Linked DNA regions of Lonchura striata. The protein of the gene in region 3 interacts with the protein of the main gene of each other region in a biochemical or structural test. Links are inferred from orthologs where the notes say so. Each region holds a gene or a part of one and is shown on either strand. Other genes may lie near its edges. The genes, in order: LPL, DAB1 and LRP1.

Region 1 (3,745 bases), on a different chromosome or scaffold from region 3:
TTGATAAACAACAATTTCCTGACATTATGCACCCAGAAATAGAAATAGTATTAGCTAGGTGCAAAGAAATTATACTGCTAGACTGTGTCTTCTATAGCCTACAGAGACATGCATGCACAGCAGCAAACATCTGCACATAACATCAAATATTTACCAGTGTAGTTAACTGGGCTAAATCTTCCCTCATCCGACAATCAGCATTAGGAACACCCTTGAATCTGTCATACTGAATTTCTAAGAGTTCTGAAGCAAACTCACAGTCAGCTGTAGTAAAGGGCCTATATCACAGAAATGGTTGTTGTTCAATTTGATCTACACTATAAACTGAAAGCAGACAACTGTGTGTTGCAATCCCAGGAAACCTACATCACAAGTCAGGTTACTGTTTAACCTTGCTGCAAAAACATTACAACTTCACGTTTATTTATATATTCCTCAATGGCAGAGCCCTGAGAGTATGTTCTGCTTCACTTCCCAGGTGGGGCCAGTGGAAAGGGCAACACCTTTGGAAAGCTACTGGGCACAAGTTCAGAAGCTGGGTAAGAACCTCCCAGCTCAAGTTTTGCAGCTGGCAAACTGCTGTTCTCTCACAGGGGTGTACACGGGGTGCCCACCCCTCTCCGTGGTACTCCCTGACAAATCTTTACTCAGCTGCAGCTGGGGCTCCTGAAACTCAATCCAGCAGATATCTAGCCATCCATCAGTCCCTCTGGAATATCTGGAATTAGCTGAAGACAAAATGCAAACACCGTCAGACTTTGCAGTAATACAGAGGTAAGGATGCATGAGAAAGTCCTATCATGCAAGTACTTCTGCACAGAGAAGATTCCACCAAACTTTTAGGAGTGCTAGTCATCATGATAATCTCCAGAACAACTTGAGGCTGAGAGCCTCACCTCTGTGCCTTCTCAAAAATGCAGTGTTTCTCGAAGGCCATGCCACAGCTGCCCTGGTATGTCTATCCCAAACACAAACCATAAAAAAAAGCCAGCAGCTCACATCACACAGCAGTGTAAATATGCTGACTCTGGATTTACAATGTTAAAGATAAGAATCTGAATGTATTTATAATATGTTTTTATCTTTTCCTGGAACATCAATGTTTTCTTCACCTAGAAATATTTTTCTATGTTGTTTTTTAAATACTCTGGATTCCTGGAGGGCTGGATCATGTGTTTTCTGTGGTTTCAAAAAACTTTTTACTGTGGTGTGCATGGAAAAGTGCGGAAGCACGGCTTGAATTGCTCTAGGATGAACACACAACCTGCTTTCATACAACCAATTCCTAAGAAGAAATAGTGAAATTATTAGTAAGTCTGTGGCAAATCAGTTACTGCAGGGATGAAAGCTTTCTCTGGGAAGATAGTTATTTTAATATATATAGCTTGGATACTGTGATGAAAACTGGTTTTGATTGTCTGTGATGGCACAAGATTGGATTCAGACCTAGAATACATTCCTTTTGCTGTACCATAGCACCCCATCCTCTTACTTTTGAATACTTTCTTCCCTTCAGCTTCCTTGTACACAAAGAAGTAACAAAGGTACCCACAGCATAAAAAAATGGCAGTTTATATATTCCAGTTTAGGATCACAAAGCAGATCTAGGAGCTAAAGCCACCCTTTCTTCTAAGGCCAGAAACTTTTAAAGACAGATACTATGTGTGGGAGATCAGCGCAAGAAAGTGAGCCTGTGACAGGGCACTGCTAACAATATTCTAAGAGGGTTTTTTTTTAAGCTTGAGGAATAGTGGTCTCCTAAATCTAGTCAATTTGTCCACAGCAGCTTCAATTACATTGTGATTAATTGAGAGAGCTTTAGTAAAAATCTAGCACCATTTGCACATCTTCCACTTCCTCTAGCTTGGACAGGATGTCTATGCACAAGTACAACAGGCAGAACGCAAACAAGTGAGCCCAGAGAGAGAAAATCACTCTGTTCACTTCTCCCCTAGTGGATCCTGCTCATTACAGGCTTAACTACAGCTTGCACACATTACCACGATAACAATGAAACTCAGCCTTGCCTTGTCTAGGAACAAGAACTTTACTTAGCTGGGATGCTGGGATAGATGAGTCCCACAGAGGAAGCCGAGGGATCTTACCGTGATGCTACTGCTGTGCAAATCCCCTGCTGGGGCAAGGGACTCTCGAAAGCCACCTTGTCTCTGGGAAGAAAACACACCCCAAACCTCAACACGTCCCGCCACTAGCCCGGCAAGCTGTGCCTGGGTTTCGGCTGGGGACCAGGCTCCAGGTCTCAGGGTCGCTCTCTAGCGCCTTCCAAGCCCTCTCCGCGAAACCCGGGTCCCGCAGCATCCCGAACTCCCGGGACAGCTTCACAAAGGAAAGTTGCAAGCTCCCTTTTCCCGCCACGCCGGCAGCGCTTCCCCCGAGCCCTCTCATCCCAAGAAGCAGCAGGCAGGCCCGGCAGCTCCCCGTGCCCCCCGTCCCGGGACTCACCGCCCGGAGCCGCCCAGCGCAGCCAGAGGCACACGGCGGCCAGCAGCGCCTTCCTCCACATCTCGCCTCCTGCCGCGGGACCAAAGCGTCGGCGCGAAAAGAAAAAGAAAATTTTTTTTTTTTTTAATTTAAAAAGTAAGTAAGTTTTTTTTTTTTTTTCTTTTTTTTCTTTTTTGTTGGTTTTTTTTTTTCCTCTAGCAACTTACGATGACTAAGCCAGGAGCGCGGCGCCGGAGTGCAGCGACAGACGGGGCAGCCCGGGGAGCGCCCAGCACCGCCAGCGCCGCCTCGGCCCGTCTTTATGGCCCGGGCAATATGCAAATATGCAAATGAATATGTAAATATGCAAAGAACCCTGCGCGCCCATTGGGCGAGCGCGGAGGGGCGGGGCCGGCGCTGCCCGGGGCGTGGGGCGGGTTCGGGCTCGGCGCTCCCGCGGGATGGAGCGGAGCGGGACGGGATGGGATGGGATGGGATGGCACGGCACGGCACGGCACGGCACGGCACGGCATGGCTCGGCGTGCATGGAGCCCTAGGCTCCGAGCCCTCCTTGGGCCTGGCTCCCACAGCCCTCCCAGAGCCCTCAGCCCCGCAGCCAGCATGCGGATCCCGCGTTTCACCCCCTAGGTCCTTCCTGCCTGTGGTGACCCAGCTCTGCGATGCCTCTGGTGGGGTCTTCCTTCCCATTCCTGCTTTTGCACCAGTAACCAGCAGCCAGCTGCATTTTCTGTACAGTGCTCGGCAAGGGGCCTTCTGCTGTTCCCTTGAAAAGTCTTTGCCAAGACTTTGTTTTGCCAGCACTCGAGGGGATACAAGTTTGGAGAAAATATTAATTCACTGGAGATTGCATCTGTGCTCCTGAGAAATAAAAAAAAATTGATTCCTTGAGCTCTTCAACTCTCTCTCCTCTCCTCTCAGAAATGTGGTTTTAACTGAGATCTGTGTTGGCAGCCACTGGGTGAAAGATCAGTTATGTAAGGACATTAATTTAATAACAATACCAGTTTTCATTTCATTGTGCAGTTTGTTGCCAAAGGCGCAGCTTCATAAAGAAGCTTATTACACAGGGAGTGAGGACTCCCTGGATTTTGCAATGTGAAGCAAATGCGATTCACTTTAAGGACGACATATCTTTTTCATACCAGACACCTTTGGAGACTAAAACATATCTGGTTTATATTAGTGAGATTGTTCAATAAGAGATGGCTGAAGTGTAGAAGTAGTACTGGGTCACCTTTCCTACTTTAGGTTCCTCTAAAAGACCAGTAAGATCTATAAATGA
Region 2 (3,745 bases), on a different chromosome or scaffold from region 3:
CGGGCAGGGCAGGGCAGGGCAGGGCAGGGACGGGACAGGCAGGGCAGGGCAGGGCAGGGCAGGGCAGGGCCGGGCCGGGCCGGGCCGGGCAGGGCAGGGCCGGGCAGGGACAGGCAGGGCAGGGCAGGGCAGGGCAGGGCAGGGCAGGGCAGGGCAGGGCAGGGCAGGGACGGGACGGGACAGGCTGGGCAGGGCAGGGCAGGGCAGGGCAGGGACGGGCAGGGATAGGCAGGGCAGGGCAGGGCAGAGCAGGACAGGGACAGGCAGGGCAGGGACAGGCAGGGCAGGGACGGGACAGGCAGGGCAGGGACAGGCAGGGCAGGGCAGGGCAGGGACGGGCAGGGATAGGCAGGGCAGAGCAGGACAGGGACAGGCAGGGCAGGGACAGGCAGGGCAGGGACGGGCAGGACAGGGACAGGCAGGGCAGGGACAGGCAGGGCAGGGCAGGGCCGGGCAGGGCAGGGCCGGCAGCCGGGCGCTGCGGGCCCCGGGGGCTTCCAGCGGGAGGGCAGCGGGCCGGGAGCCGCGGCCCCTCGCAGGGGAGCCGGGCGAAGGACTCCGGGCCGGAGCCGCCGGAGGGGCTCCCCGCGGCCCGGGCGGGGCGGGGGGCTCCGCTGCCGCTGCCGCTGCCGGGGGATGCGGTAGCGCGGAGCTGCAGGGCACCGGCGCCGCCTCCGCCCGCGCAGGCTCCGCGCCAGCAGCGCCGCAGCCAGCGAGCCCCGGGCGCGCAGCCCGCCCGCCGCCGGAGGAGGAGGAGGAGGAGGAGGAGGAGGAGGAGGAGGATGAGGATGAGGATGAGCATCAGCGGGAGCGGCGCGGCTGCAGGTAGGAGGAGGCGCGGGGGGAGCCGCCCCATCGCCGCCGTGCGCGGAGCGGGTCCCGGCGCCCCGCGGAGCCCGGCGGAGTTAACGCAAAGTTTTTGCGGCGGGAGGGAGGCGCTGGCGCGGCGGAGCCGGCGAGGAGGCGGGGAGCGATGCTCGGGCGGCGCGGTGCCGCCCGCTCCGCCGGCCGGACGGGCGAGCGGGGATGCGAGCGGAGCGGGAGCCGCGCTTCGGGGCCGTGCGCGGGGATTTAACACTGCCACAGCCGGCCACGGGCAACTTCGAGCCCTAGCGAGCATCTCCGAGCCGTGCTGGGAATGAACGTGAGGCACCGCTTCCTTTCTATTTGTGTGTGTGTGTGTGTGTGTGTGAGAGAGACTCCCGAGCAGGGTTTTCTCGCCATCCACCTCTGCGTGCCAGCCGGGAAGGGGCAACTTGAACCAGCTGTCCCCTCTTGGGTTAATATTTACAGCCCGAATAAATATTTTGTTGCCCTTCTACCTTCTTCTCGACGCCTTCTTGTAGTCGAGATGATTAATCAGGGATGTTAGTGGCCAACTAGGCATAACCTTGTAGAAAAATAATTATGTGAGGATATATGGGGTTTGACTAGTGATGTGATACAGAATACACCCAGATCTCGGTAGTTGCTTCCCCATGTGTGCACGTTCAGTGTGTTTTTGATTTTGAATGGAAATATAAGTGTAATGATAAACATGTTACTTCCAGGGGAAGAATGTTATTTTCCTTGCCAGTGAAATATACAGCAGCTTCAAAGTAAAATGTGCATATCTGTGGATATAGAGAGGGGTTCTCTTTTCTGGTCAGTCACTAAAATGTTTTTCTCCCTTTTGAATGTGGTCTTTCTAGTGGTGCTGGTTGCTTTGCATGTTTGGTTTGCAGAATGAATTTCATTTCAGTGCCCTCGGAGTCTCGAGAGAAGAAGTGCACTGCTGTGTCTTCTGAGGCTGGTTGTTTTAACTGATCTTGTTAAATAATGCTATTATTAAATGATGGCAAATTGAAGCAAATGTGTTTTTCATTGCCCACAAGTTGTGTCTCTGAGCTAAATCTCTTTTTATGGCTGGAGAGGCTCTTGCACTGCAGTATTACAATACAGCCATATTAAAAAGGTCCTTGGAGCAAATAACCCTCTAATGCTGCAGCTATGTTTTCAGTAGACTTCAGTAGTTCTGTGGGAAGTGATTATGTTGGATTTAAGGAATCTGGGTAGAATTGCTTGTGCTTTTTTAATTGTGGTGTTAAACTGCCTGTAGACGTTGGTGTAAGTGGTAAATCTAGACCCAAAATCTAAAGAAGCAAAGCTCCAAACCCAAGGCTTTATTTGTGATGAATTTTTTTTTTTTTTTTTGCAACAGGTTTTTCTGTTTTTTTTTTCTTTTTTTTTTTTCCTTTTCCTTCCTTCCTTCTCCCTTCAGTTGGCAGAGAGGTCTCCAGCTTTAATGCCTTTCCTTGACCAAGCAGAGTGCAGTGGGAGATGATACCATCATTCTCCTCTTGTATGGTTTATTCTGTCTCTGGTGCTGCAAAGAATGAAGGCGAGTCAGACTAGAGATAAAAGGGAGAGAAGATGCCTGAGGTTGACGGTGTTGGCAAATTGATTGATTAAGGTTTGTTCTGAGGAACCCCACTAGATTTCAGGTGGTTTCTTTGGGATGTCCTGCTGAAAGCACAGGTCAGCATCTATCCTTCAGTGATTTCACACCAAATTCTCTGGTGTGTGCTTGGCAGGTGTGAAAAGCAGACATGGAACTAAGCTTCTAATGTCAATATTTGGTGCTAAAAGATTAATTTTGAGCAGAAGACAAACAGTTTGGTTACTTTTCTTTAACTACAGCTCTTCATTACTGGTTTTTGTTTGCTCTAGTAAACAAACCCATAGATCTTAAAATTGAATTAAGTGTATAAACTGCTTGAACCAGAGAGGGGAGACAGACTAATAAATAAAGAATTAAGCTATTGTGCCATTGACTGGCTGATTACAGCTTTGGCCTGATCACTCAAGCAGTGCTCCAAGCAAGCTCTCCATGCCCAGCACTGTTTTTTCTGGATTGGAGGATGGGAACGCTGGTGGTGACTGGGGGGTGATGTCTGCTTGACTGACAGACACTTATTGCAGAGTGGCACTCACTGCTCTGTAATTTTGCCTCTGTAATGATTTTCCCCAGAGAGCTGACAGAGAATTAAAACGTTTATGATCAGGTTTTTTGGAAGGGTTCCTCAAGATGCAGAGAGGAGGGCAGGGAAGTCCATCCATTTTTAGATCTTGCTAATCCCTTGTGTTGTTCCTGTAGTCATGCTAATTTTTATTGATTGTCATGGCAGTAGCTGTTTCAGAGCACAGAAGTGGAAATGTTTCACTTCATTCAGGGTAATCCTAAAAAGAAATCAAAGTGGGAAGGAAGGAGTGGCTGAAAGAGTTGTCTCACTCCAGTCTTTTCTTCAGGTTGTTCATGAAACAAAGGCAATAAACAGTTCGTGCACTTTTGAAATCCAATTTCTGTGAGAGGACTAAAGTTTCCATCCTGTGTTTGCTGTAAATGCAATATAATCTTGACACTACCTATCATAAGGATGCAAACCTCAAAGTTCTCCTGCTCAAGCCCATTTCTCCACTGGAGCAAAACCATGGGAACAGAGGAGTCTGTGGTGGAGGATGGATGTCATATCCCATGTGGATGTCAGCTGTGTGCAAAAGGAGCTGAGCTGGAGTCAAGGCTGGCACCCAGGCAGCAGATGACAGAAAAGTGTCATTGATTTCTGGTGACCAGCTCTAATCAAACTCATGTGTGTGCTGAGATCAGGAACACGCTCTGTGCTTCTTTAACCATCTGATGGTGACCTAAAAATCCCTCTGTGATCCATCTGTGCTCATCAGGTGAGCCTCAGCCAACACTGGTGCC
Region 3 (3,745 bases):
GTGAGGGTCCCATTCCCCTCGGACATAGCGAGGGTCCTGTGCCCTGGGGGAGCAGTCAGGGTCCCACCGCCCTTGGGGTGGTGATGGTTTTGCTGTCCTGGGAGAATGGCGAGGCTCCTGTTGCCTTTAGCGATGGTGAAGGGCCAGTCCTGGGGGACAGCGAAGGTCCTGCAGCCCCGAGAGGACACCGAGGGTCCCGCTGTCCCTGCGGGTGATGGGTCCTGCTGCCTCGTCCGTCTCTGACCCGCGGCCGGTACCGGGTGTCGGTAGAGGGGAGCTGGACCTCCCCCGCACCTGGGGACCACCACAGCAGGGACAGGCCGGGCGCTGGAGCGGCATCACGGGCCGGTACCGCGTGTGGGCGCGGGACCGGCAGCGCTGTACCTGTGCCACACCGGTCCTGGCCCCGGCCCCCTGCTCGTACCATACTGACACCGATACCGACACCGACACCGGCACCGGACCCCTCCCGGACCATACTGACACTGATACCGACACCGATACCGGCACCGGTCTCCTGCTCGTACCATAATGACACCGATACCGACACCGGCACCGGAGCCCTCCCGTACCAAACTGACACTGATACCGGCACCGGACCCCTGCCCAGACCATACTGACACTGATACCGACACCGATACCGGCACCGGACATCTGCCCGGACCATACTGACACCGACACCGGTACGGGACCACAGCCCGTACCATACTGACACCGACACCAGAACCAGACCCCTGTCCAGACCATACCGAGACCGATACCGGTACCGACCCGGGACCCCTGTCCCTACCCGCACCCACCGGGGGGCGCAGCCCCGGCACCGCACGCGCATGCGCGTAAGGACCCCCCCCACCGCCACGCGCGTGTCCCCCCCCCCCCCCGCCCGTTCCCGTCCGCGGCGGCGGCGGCTCGAGCCCGGTGACGTCAGGCGGGCGGCGGCGCGCGCTCCATCGCCCCCCACCCCCAAAATCACCGCCCTCCCTCCGCCCCTCCCTCCGCCGCGGCGGCGGCGCGCGCAGAGACCCCCCCCCACCCCCCCATCCCCCGCCGCCCCCCGGCCCCGCCGCCGCCGCCGCCGCCGCCCAGCCCGGAGGGTCCGCCCGCCCCCCGGCCCGGCCCGGCCCGGCCGCCGGCCCGCCCCCGCCCGCCCCCCGCGGATGTCGGTGCGCGGGCCCGGGACGCGCCGCCCCACGGGCAGCACGGCGTGAGCAGCCGCCGCCGCCGCCGCCGCCGCCGCCGCCGAGCCGCCGAGCCGCCGGCATGGGGCCGCTGCTGGCCCTCGCCGGGAGCCTCCTGGCCCTGCTGGCCGCGCCCGCCGCCCGCGCCCTCGAAGGTGAGTCGGGGGGCGGCGGGGCCGGAGCCCCGCGGGGCGATACCGGCGGGGAGGGGGAGGCGCCGCAGCCGCTGTCGGGGGCGCGGGGCTCGGCCGGGCCGGGGAGGGGCGGGGGGCGCTGCGCGTCCCCCCCCTCCGCCGCCGCCGTGACAAAGCAGAGCGGGCGCAGCCCGGCCCCGCTGCGCCGTGGGGACACCGGAGGAACCGGGCAGCGGCGGGGAGCGGCGGGCCGGACCGGGGAGGCGCGTCCTCCGGGCACCGCTCCGCAGCGCACGGTGCACCCCCCGCCCCGTCCCCCCGCAGCCGCGGGGGCCGCTCGCTTGCGCTCTTTGCCCGTTCCCGTGGCTCCCACCCGCCCTCCATCCCCATTTTCCTCTGGAATCCAAAGTTTTCCCCGCAGCCAAGCGGGAAAGTTGGAGCTCAGCACCGCTGCGGGAGCCGGGGCCGGCGGTCCCGGTGTGCCGGGGGTGGCCGGGTCCGGGATCCCACCGGTCCCAGGGGTGCCCGTGACAGCCCGGCCTCGCCCCACGCTCCCCCTCTTGCATAACCGGGGCTGCTTCTCCCGGAGCCGCGACGCCCGGCTGCGGAGTTTGGCTGTGACCGGGCCTGGTGGCACCGGGAATATGGTTTATCCAGCCACCGGGGCTGTCCGTCCCCCGGTCCGTGCGTCCGTTTGTCGGTTTGTCCAGCCTCCCGCCATCGGTCCATCCAGCTCCTCGCCAGCCGCTCGTTCCCAAGCCGCGCACGTCGCGTTCCCGGCCCTTTATTGATCTATTCAGTAAATACTTGAGCTCGTCAGCTCCGCGGCCGGGCTGGGAATGTGCGAGGGGCCGCTCTTGGCAGCGCCCGTGCTCCGCGCTGGCAGCCGCTCCAGCCGGGAACCGGCGGCCGTGGCGAAGTTCTCGCAGCGCTTGGACGCGCCGGGCTGTTTTTTCCCCTTCAAAAGCAGAGAAATGGGGGAGTCTCGGCTTTCCTGTGGCGGATTCCCCTCTGTCTGCACGGGAATGGCCTTGTGAAATGAGAGGCTGGAATGATGGATGAACCAGAGGGGGTTGTTTTTTTGTTTTAGGAGGAGGTTTTTCTGTCCCATTTGCTTTGCCCACCTTGGAGCAAAGCGGGAGAAGGGATTTTGGTGTCGTGGCAGTGGCAGCATCTGACCCATCGCCGGGTTGGAGGGATGGAGGAAGAGGAGGAGGTTTGGGCAAACGCCAGATCCCTGCCCCAGATTCATGTCTGGGGCTGCAGGAGGCCGGAGCCTGTGGTTTCCATCCTCCAGCCCCTCCTCACCCTGCTGGGGATGCGGACACTCGATCTGTGTCCCTTGGAGGGAGGTGACAGGAGCGGAGCAGCTCAGGGCACCCTGCGGCCACCCCTCGGTGGCACCTGCGGGGCTGATCGAGCCGCTGGCACACACCCGGTGAGCTCGGCGGTGCAGGTGGCCACGGCTGAGCCCTCCGGGGTCACTCCTCCAGGGAACACGGGGGCTCGGAGGCATCGTCCCCGCTCGGAGGTGGCTCGGAGCATCCGGCGGATCCAGAAGTTGGTGGGGGCGGAAGGGAGGCATCGCTCATTGCATAAGCTGCGTTGCCTTTGGAAACCAGGCTGCGGAAAGATGATGAGCTGGAGGGAAGTTCTTCCATCCTCGGCTCCACACCCCAGGAGCTGGAGTGGGGCAGAGACACCCCTTCCTCCTGGTGCACGTCCCCCTCCCCAGGGGCTCCCCTTTGGGGACTGTGATGGGAACGAGGTGCTGTTCCACCACCTCAGGGTGCTGGGAGCTGTGGGAAGCTGTGGGTGGGAGGATGTGGGGGCATGTGGCGGATGTGGAGGCACCACAAGGATGTGGTTGGCTTGGTTAGGGGGCAGAATGTGCCACCAAGGTGCCACCTGAGCTGGTGCCTCAACCCTGGCGGTCCTGGCTGGGCTCTGGTTTTCCTGATGCAAGTCTCCCACTGTCCCAGCTGGGTACAGTGGGGCTCTGGGAGAGGCCAGGACATCACTGGGAGCAGGATGCAGGTCCCCATCCTTGTCTGGAGAGCCAATTCCTCACACTTACAGCCTCTGTTTGCGGTTCTGGAAGCTCGTTGCTTGTTTCTGGAGAAGAGGAGGCCAAAGTCCAGCTGTGGGGTGGCAGGAAGCTCTTCCATGGGGAACAAAGGGCACTGGTGTGCAGCTCCTGTCTGCCTGGTCCTCTGCCACTTGCTGGGGCAGAGTGGGGCATCCCTGCACCCTGTGGTGGCAGAACCCCAGGAGCGGAGTGAGGGCAGGCAGGGATCACCCTGTTCCTGTTTTGGAAATACCTGTGGTTGAGGGTGGCCGGGATGTTTTGGTGCAGCACTTCCCTCTTGCCACCTCGGTGGTCTGGCGCGTCCCTGTGTGCCCGTATGTGCTCCCAGGTGTCCCCACGTGTGT

Evidence for each region.
Region 1: the proteins of LRP1 (region 3) and LPL form a complex in vitro, tested with the Homo sapiens proteins (3 studies listed by BioGRID). The link is inferred for Lonchura striata from reciprocal best matches to the Homo sapiens genes LRP1 and LPL.
Region 2: the proteins of LRP1 (region 3) and DAB1 form a complex in vitro, tested with the Homo sapiens proteins (2 studies listed by BioGRID). The link is inferred for Lonchura striata from reciprocal best matches to the Homo sapiens genes LRP1 and DAB1.

Annotation. Positions count from the first base shown.
Region 1 is NC_134642.1:5,368,405-5,372,149, forward strand, and holds the start of LPL (lipoprotein lipase), read right to left. Parts: upstream 2,544-3,745; 5' UTR 2,525-2,543; coding exon 2,464-2,524; intron 1-2,463. UniProt on the Homo sapiens protein: Key enzyme in triglyceride metabolism.
Region 2 is NC_134611.1:7,735,002-7,738,746, forward strand, and holds the start of DAB1 (disabled homolog 1), read left to right. Parts: upstream 1-943; 5' UTR 944-1,144; intron 1,145-3,745. UniProt on the Homo sapiens protein: Signaling adapter of the reelin-mediated signaling pathway, which regulates the migration and differentiation of postmitotic neurons during brain development.
Region 3 is NC_134629.1:5,766,142-5,769,886, forward strand, and holds the start of LRP1 (prolow-density lipoprotein receptor-related protein 1), read left to right. Parts: upstream 1-1,239; 5' UTR 1,240-1,260; coding exon 1,261-1,333; intron 1,334-3,745. UniProt on the Homo sapiens protein: Endocytic receptor involved in endocytosis and in phagocytosis of apoptotic cells. Required for early embryonic development. Involved in cellular lipid homeostasis.